Elephas maximus indicus: one gene and its partner. The protein of the gene in region 2 purifies or fractionates together with the protein of the main gene of each other region. This does not show direct contact. Links are inferred from orthologs where the notes say so. Each region holds a gene or a part of one and is shown on either strand. Other genes may lie near its edges.

Region 1 (3,748 bases), on a different chromosome or scaffold from region 2:
TTCTGGATATGTTTTTAAGGCCGCGATGGAATCATTTCTTCACGGACCCAAACCCAAACCACACGAAACCCACTGCCGTCAAGTCACACTCACAGCGACCCCATAGGGTTTCCAAGGCTGTAATGTTTACGAAAGCCGACTGCCACATCTTTCTCCCGCTGCTGGTTTCGAACCGCCGACCTTTCGGTTTGCAGTCGAACGCTTTAACCATTGCGCCACCAGGGCTCATCACAGCCCCAAGTCACCCGAATCTTTATTAATTGGTGCCTTATGAAGTTTAAAAAAAATTTTTTTTTTTTATGAAGTTTGGAGAAAGATGATGAGCAGGGAGGTGGAGTCTGGGTCAAAACGTGATGAGTAACCCCGGGGGAGAGATTGGTTTGTTTTCAATCTTCTAACAATTGGCCCCTTAAAAATCATCATGAAGGCAGGGACTTTGGTGTTTGTTGTTCAAAAATGTATCCTCAACGCTTAATAGAACTGCATGGTATAGGGTAAGCGTTCAATAAATATTTCTTGCACAAATAAACGTCCTTCCAATGGGATAGCCTTCTCCAGGCTCGTTCTCCAGCCAGCCCCGGGACCCACAACTACCTTGCTGGGGTAAAGATAGGGAGATCATGAGAGCCTGTAAGTGGGTATCCCGAGCCCCAGCTGGGAGCCTTTCCAGGTGCCGCGCCAGCTCACGGTTGGCCTGGGAGTGATGGTGAACAGGCAGTGAGCCCAATGGGAGGGCGGAGCTCCATGGGTGGGCGGTGCCAGAGCGGCTTCCGGGTACCGCCTCCCCGCGGGCGCTCTAGCCGCGCGAAAGACTCCTCAATGCTTCGCCTCGCTCCACTTCCGTCAGCTCTTAATTCCGCTTCCGGTCCGATAGAGGCGTCGCCTTCTGAGGGTCACATTGAGCTGCGAGCGGTTTCAGGGGTGTCTTTAGGTGAGTATGGCGGGCAGGGGAGCCTAGGACCCCAGCCGGGGGACTGAGGAACCAGACCCCAGCTTCCCCGAGAACAGAGGGAGGCTTTCGGCCGGTGACGCCGGGCTTCCCCGTGAGCCTCCGGGGGCCTGTTCTGTGAACACAGCTGACGATTGTGCAGTGTTTTTTTAATGCCAGGCGGCTTTTCAAGCGCTTTGCTTATATTCATTTAATCCTCCCTCCACCCTTGTGAGGTCGAGCCTGGGATGACCGCCTTTTGACAGTGGGGACACTGAAGCTCTGAGATGTTACGGAAGCGACGTAGCGGAGTTCACACAGCGACCAGGATTCGGACCCAGTAGTTGGACTGCAGAGCGCTGGTGGCGCAGGGTTTGCGAGGTCGGCTGCTAACCGAAAGGTCGGCAGTTCGAGCCCAGCAGCCGTTCCTCGGAAACCCTCTGGGGCAGTTCTTCTCTGTCCTGTGGGGTTGCTATGAGTCGGAATCGGGATTTTGGGTGGGTTTTGGTTTAGTGTGTATTGCAGTGCTTTTAATCACCAGGCCGCAGGCATGACCTCCCGGGGCTAGCCTGGACCGCGGCGTGGCTGGTATCCGACCCCTCCTTTTCCTTGGACGTTGGGAAGTCCGCGTCCTCACCCCAGATCCACCGTCATCCAAATATCGATTTGAGATCTCGCCCGAATAAAGCTACTCTTTGTCCCCACGGCTGTGTTCCAGCAGCTGGTGTTTTACATTCCTCTCCGACTTCCTCTCCACCTCCCCTCTCCCGAAGACTGTTGCGATGCTCCTGACCCCTACTGCTGCGCTGGCCGCTTGAATTGAACACCGGTCTGGGCATCTCTCTGCTACCCATGACGCCGCGGATTCCCTGCAATTCAGAGGCAGTTTCTCGCAGATTCCCAGGCGAAGACTGTGCTTCAGCTCTTTAGAGACATTATATCGGAAGTTTTTAACCCTATGTCCGCAGAGTCTATAGAATTCGAGGGATGCTAGCGCTTGAAGAGGGGACAAATTACATCTGTATTTTTAGGAACCTCTGATTCAAATATAGCATTTCCTTCAGTTAGAATGGAGGCAGCAGCCTCCGTAGTATTAACAGCACCTGTATTTTGGTCACCAGTCAAAATCACAGATACTGTTATATCACATTGGAAACCCTGGTGGTGCAGTGGTTGAGCGTTTGGCTGCTAACCAAAAGGTCGGCAGTTTGAATCCACCAGGCGCTCCTTGGAAACCCTATGGGGCAGCTCTACTCTGTCCTGTAGGGTCGCTATGAGTCAGAATTGACTCAATGGCAACAGGGTTTTTTTTTTTATGTCACATTACAGTTGCTGCAGATTTCATAGAATTATCCTTCTCACGTGTGATTCCTTCAAAATCGTGGTTGATAAAGCTGCAGCAAGATATAACTGGTTTTTGTTGTGATTCTATGCAATTTAAAATATATTTAAACACATTCTAAGGAAGGTTTATAGGATTCATCTGGCCCCTGAGGGGTTCACGGCCTCTATGGTGTAGGGTACGCCAGTGGTTGAGTGTAGCACCCCACCATGTGTATGGTGTGTGACCTTGGGAAGCGACTTAGACACTGTCCCCTCGTCTGTGCAGTGGGGACAGTTTCTACCTTACAGAGGGGCTGTTGTGAGTAAAGTGTAGAACGGCACCTGGCATGTGGTAGGCAGTGTATTTGGGGCCAGGCCTGATTTTGCTAAGGAGTAGTCCCCAACTGTGCTGTGACTTCCACACCCAGAGATATGGATTTGTCCTTTCTCTATCCGTTCTGTGTCTGGACCTGGGTGGATGGACATCCCATGCCTAGGCACCCCAGAGTCCCTACCAACACCCACCCCCTCTCCTCCAGGAGTCATCACCATGTCAGAAGACATCAAGAGCAAAATCAAGAACTACCGGACTGCCCCTTTTGACAGCCGCTTCCCCAATCAGAACCAAACCAGGAACTGCTGGCAGAACTACCTGGGTAAGCAAGGTGTGGTGGGAGAACACAGATCTTCCCCTGGTCTCATGCCTCAAGTCCCCCCTTCCCCTTTCCTTCCCCCTTCCCCCACCCTGCTGGGGTCTCCCATGCATCCTAACACTGGTCCTAGCTCCTCTTTTACCTCTGGAGAGCTAGTGCCAGCATGTCCAGGGTCGGCCACGATCACAAACTTTGATTTCTAAAGAATGGACAGCAATAGGTTTGGTTTTGTGTGTGTGTGTAATGCAACATATGTACAGGAAGTACATAAAACAGTGTACAGCTACATGAATAATTCTGAAATGAACCCCCAAGCACCCATAGCCTGAATCGAAAGTGGAATATTGCCAGCACTCGGAACTCCCCTGCCCTCTGCGTGCCCTGTCTTGAACACAGCCCCCTACTCTCCCCACTAGAGGTATGACCCCACAGGTGGCAGTCACAGTTGGGGTTTTATCACCAAGTTTTTAAGTTTCCTTCTCAGTGAGCTTCATACATACTAAATGTATTCTTTGTGTTTGGATGTGTTTATTCACATTTTTAAGATTCAGCCAGGCCGTGGCATGTAGTTTGTTCATTTTTATTGCTCCGCTGTATTCCACAACTTACCTCTTCTCTTCAGGGACACTTGTGTGGTTTCCAGCTTGGGACTCTGAGAATGATGCTGCTGTAGACGTTCTTATAAATGTAACCTGATGCCTGCGTGCAACGGGATGGAATGGAGGGAAATGGAGTGCCTGGAGGTTTTTTTTTTTATGGAATTTCTTTTCATTTCTTTCATTATGGTTGATTTTGTACTTGCTAAGTTTTTGTTTTTCTTATTTTTATTTTTTATTGTGCTTTA
Region 2 (3,748 bases):
AAAGCAGCAATGGCCTGGGGGGCTGAAGACCTGACTACAGTCTCGAAACTCTGTATTAGAGACTCACTAAGCGTTGTGGAAGCGTCACTTCACCTCAATTTGTTCATCTCTAAAATCGGGCTAACACTTGCTCTATTAACCTCTCCAGGCTGCCTGCTGTAAGGATATTTATCTCACAGAACTCTGTGAACTCTAAAGCTCCAGACAAATGTGCTCCTATTGTTACACACACGCAATCCTTACTTGCCAACATTGTCAGATACATAAATTTTGCTCTACCTCCTCGTATTTTGTCCACTGCTCTTTAGGCAAGATCTGGTGTTTCAGGGACAGGTCTAGTGCTCTTTTAATGCGAAACATCCTGTCATTATAAAGGTTCTCAGGAAGCCTTCTTATGGCTTCTTTCACATCTTCATCCTCATATAAAACATCATCTCGCATTAACCCTAGGACAGAACACAAGAGAGTCAGATTGAACATTCACCTCTAAAATCAGGAATTTTTTTTAATGAGTGAAACAGATTATCTATAACTTAGGACTTGGGTGAAATATCAAGGGTTCATGTTACTAAGTACAGTGGAAATCTACCAACGAGTGTTACACATAATAATGGAATATTTCCTAAACAACATTTAAGCCTTTTCAAATCCACTGCCACAATCTCACATTTTATCTAGCCAATTTTAAAAATATTTAAAATATCTACCTTGTTTTTAAACACACATCAATGAATCATACCTGTATTTTCTTATACTTTAAATCTGAGATTGAAGAACCTTATGATGGTAGTATACTAGGGAGTCAGTAACATCTATCGGAGCTTCCATCAAGCTTCGATAGCACAAGATGAAGTTCATGGCAAATTAAAAAGTTCTGAAAGAGTTCAGGAGTCAGATAATGGTAAAGATGTCAGACAATTTTAATATTTGAAAAATCCATACTTTCAATGTTTATGTAACTTAAAATTTAAAACATGAAGTGGAAAAGATGGAAGGGGGGAGTGTATTATAAGGAAAATGTCCTAATACCCTAGTTCAAGAACATAAATCATTTCTACCTCAACCACCCAGATGATTCCATTTCTCTCCTGTCAAAAGAATAATAAAAAGGAAAATGGGTTTACCAAAAAAAAAAAAAAAGGACCTAATTTAAAAATCTTCTGATGTACACAGGAACAATTATTTTTTGGAACTATAATGACTCTTGCAGAACCATCACTCTCAGAAAATGAAGAAAAAAAAAAAAAAAGAGAGAGAGAAGGAAACACGGATACTCACCGAATTTATTGAACCCTACAGCATTGTAATACCATTTTCGAATACCATTCAGCCACCGGCCTGATGCTGCAACTGATATTGTCACACTGTTAGTTGTTACAATTCACTCATACTCTATGAACACTCTGATAGGCAAGCGACCCGTACTATTAAAGAATTCAAACACAGAAGGGGTTTCCTTTTGTAAGTTTACACAATGCAGGTAGTCCTTGACTTACACCATATTCAAGTTATGGCAAACTGCACTTGCAACCGTCTGGTTTTTTTTTGTACATCTTATTGTTAGTGATACGTACTATATACAGTGTTGCAGCACATAATTTGCTGTTATCATTCTCAGATGTTCACCTGCAGATGCTCATATGTAATGTTTCTATCGAAACATCAAATACAAACTGAAGACGGATTTCCTCCCCAAAAAACTGAAGGTGGAGAGATGGGGTACAGCCTCAGAACTTCTCCTTTGTAGTTTCAGAAACAGACTGTAGGAAATAACCGTAAACTTTGTTTTTCCAGGGCGTTGGGTTGTATGTCGTATGTAAGGAGGGTGAGATTGTAGGATAGGCTGGCAGGCCTAAATGGCCCCTGCTCTCTGAATTTTTATCTACATTACCTTTATTTTACTTGGACACCCTCTTAAAAATATGTATTTTTGGAAGGATTTTAATACCATTAGTCCATTCACTTAACCTGGTGACACAGTGGTTAGGAGCCTGGCTGCTAAACAAAACGGATGGCAGTTCCAATCCACCAGGCACTTCTTGGAAACTATGGGGCAGTTCTACTCTGTCCTATAGGGAAGCTGTGAGTCGAAATCGACTCGACCGCAACGGGTATCTCCTTGGGCTTTGAGGGTTTCGGGCCGCATACTCTTCTAAGGCCGAGGGGAAGGACTGTGGAGCATAGGCAGCTGGAACGCAGGATTGTCAGAGACTACGGCTGGCACCTTCACAAACAGCAGGTCCACAACCCAACCCCCTACACAAGCCCGGCCTGGGGAAAGCAAAAGGGTGCGGGAAACACGTCCTTTGACAGGGCCGGAGCCGCTATCCCCCCTTACGCCGCAAACCTGGCCACCCAGAGTGACCACAGGAAAAGGAGCAAGAAGCTGCGAGTATAAAAGGCTTAGCGCAGCAATGCCCACCAGGAAAAATACCAATCACTTACCCGAAGACCTGCCCGCCATTTTGACCCGAGAACGACGCGTTGCCTACTGGGTAAGTCCTGGAGGACAAGCTGGGCCCAGTGCGCAGGCGCATAACGTCACTCCCTGACTCGTGGGAGGCCACCGCTTGCGGACGCCCGCGCAGGCGCAGCTCTGGCGGCCGACGTCAGGCGCCTGCTGTCAGCGCTTTTCAACAGGGTCAGAACGAGGGAGTCGTTTGCGCGTTTTTCGCAACCGGTTCCAAGAAGTGTTCCTTGCGACAAGATGACTAGACAAAGAATTAGGAGACCTGAGTTTTGGCCCGGTTTCTCTTACCTACTAGCTGTGAGAGCTTCAAAACCAAAACAGACCAAACCCGTTGCGGTCAAATCGGTTCCGACTCATAGCGACCCTATAGGACAGAAGTAGAACTGCCCCATAGGGTTTCAGAGGAGCCGCTTGGTGGGTTCGGACTGCCGACCTTTTGTTAGCAGCCGTAGCTCTTAACCACTACGCCACCAGGGTGTCCAAAATGAAGGTACGGGGATTGAACCGAAGGCTTCGCGCATGCTAAGCACGCGCTCTACCGGTGAGGTATAACCCCGGGTGATGACAGCTTGGGCAGCACTGAGACTTTTGTGCCAAGCGTGTTGCTGAGCGTTTTACCAGCATTTTCTCATTTGATTACCCAACAAATCTGTGAGTTAAGTACTGTACTTATCCCCATTGTAGAGAAGACAGACCTCAGAAGGGTTGAATAGTTTGTCCAAGGGCACACAGGAAATACAAGAGAACCCAGATTCTAATTCACTGCTCCTTGATCGTAGGGCTATGTGCTACACTATTAACCCAGGAAAGACACTACACCTCTCGTGTCTCCAGCTGAAGACCTTCATCAAGCCACTTAAGTGGACGATTAAGTCAAAGAAAAGTTTAAGAATATTAAAGCTATACTGCAGAATTTGTGTACAATTTTAAGATACAAGCAAGTCCATAGTGGCCGCAGCCCCAACATGTTAAGTCTAGGACATAAAAATCTAGGAACAGAAAACGATTGATACTCAAATCAGTTACGGCTAGTTATACCAGTAGTTCTACAACGACCCACCAATATCCACCTTTTTTTTCCCCTTTGGTCTTGAGATCTGGGATGGTACAGGGCTCCATCTCATTATAAAGTCAAGGGGTTATTAGATGTAATGGTGGAGTTAATTCCAACTCATAACCATGTGAGTTAATGGTCGTAGTCCCATTCTAGTTCCAAAATTCTATTGCCATGCAACACTGCAAACTGATGAATGGCTGCTCCCGCCTACACTAAACCAA

What was found.
Region 1: the proteins of cytochrome b-c1 complex subunit 7 (region 2) and cytochrome c oxidase subunit 6B1 purify together in Homo sapiens (affinity purification with mass spectrometry; 3 studies listed by BioGRID and IntAct, counting the BioPlex papers as one, with this or other methods). This does not show direct contact. The link is inferred for Elephas maximus indicus from reciprocal best matches to the Homo sapiens genes UQCRB and COX6B1.

What each region holds. Positions count from the first base shown.
Region 1 is NC_064829.1:114,617,993-114,621,740, forward strand, and holds the start of cytochrome c oxidase subunit 6B1, read left to right. Parts: upstream 1-824; 5' UTR 825-931; intron 932-2,790; 5' UTR 2,791-2,801; coding exon 2,802-2,907; intron 2,908-3,748. UniProt on the Homo sapiens protein: Component of the cytochrome c oxidase, the last enzyme in the mitochondrial electron transport chain which drives oxidative phosphorylation.
Region 2 is NC_064833.1:45,713,915-45,717,662, reverse strand, and holds the start of cytochrome b-c1 complex subunit 7, read right to left. Parts: upstream 2,501-3,748; 5' UTR 2,465-2,500; coding exon of another isoform or gene 2,446-2,464; intron 2,437-2,445; exon of another isoform or gene 1,761-2,436; 5' UTR 1,597-1,760; coding exon 1,575-1,596; intron 1,351-1,574; coding exon 1,279-1,350; intron 1,254-1,278; exon of another isoform or gene 740-1,253; intron 447-739; coding exon 280-446; intron 1-279. UniProt on the Homo sapiens protein: Component of the ubiquinol-cytochrome c oxidoreductase, a multisubunit transmembrane complex that is part of the mitochondrial electron transport chain which drives oxidative phosphorylation.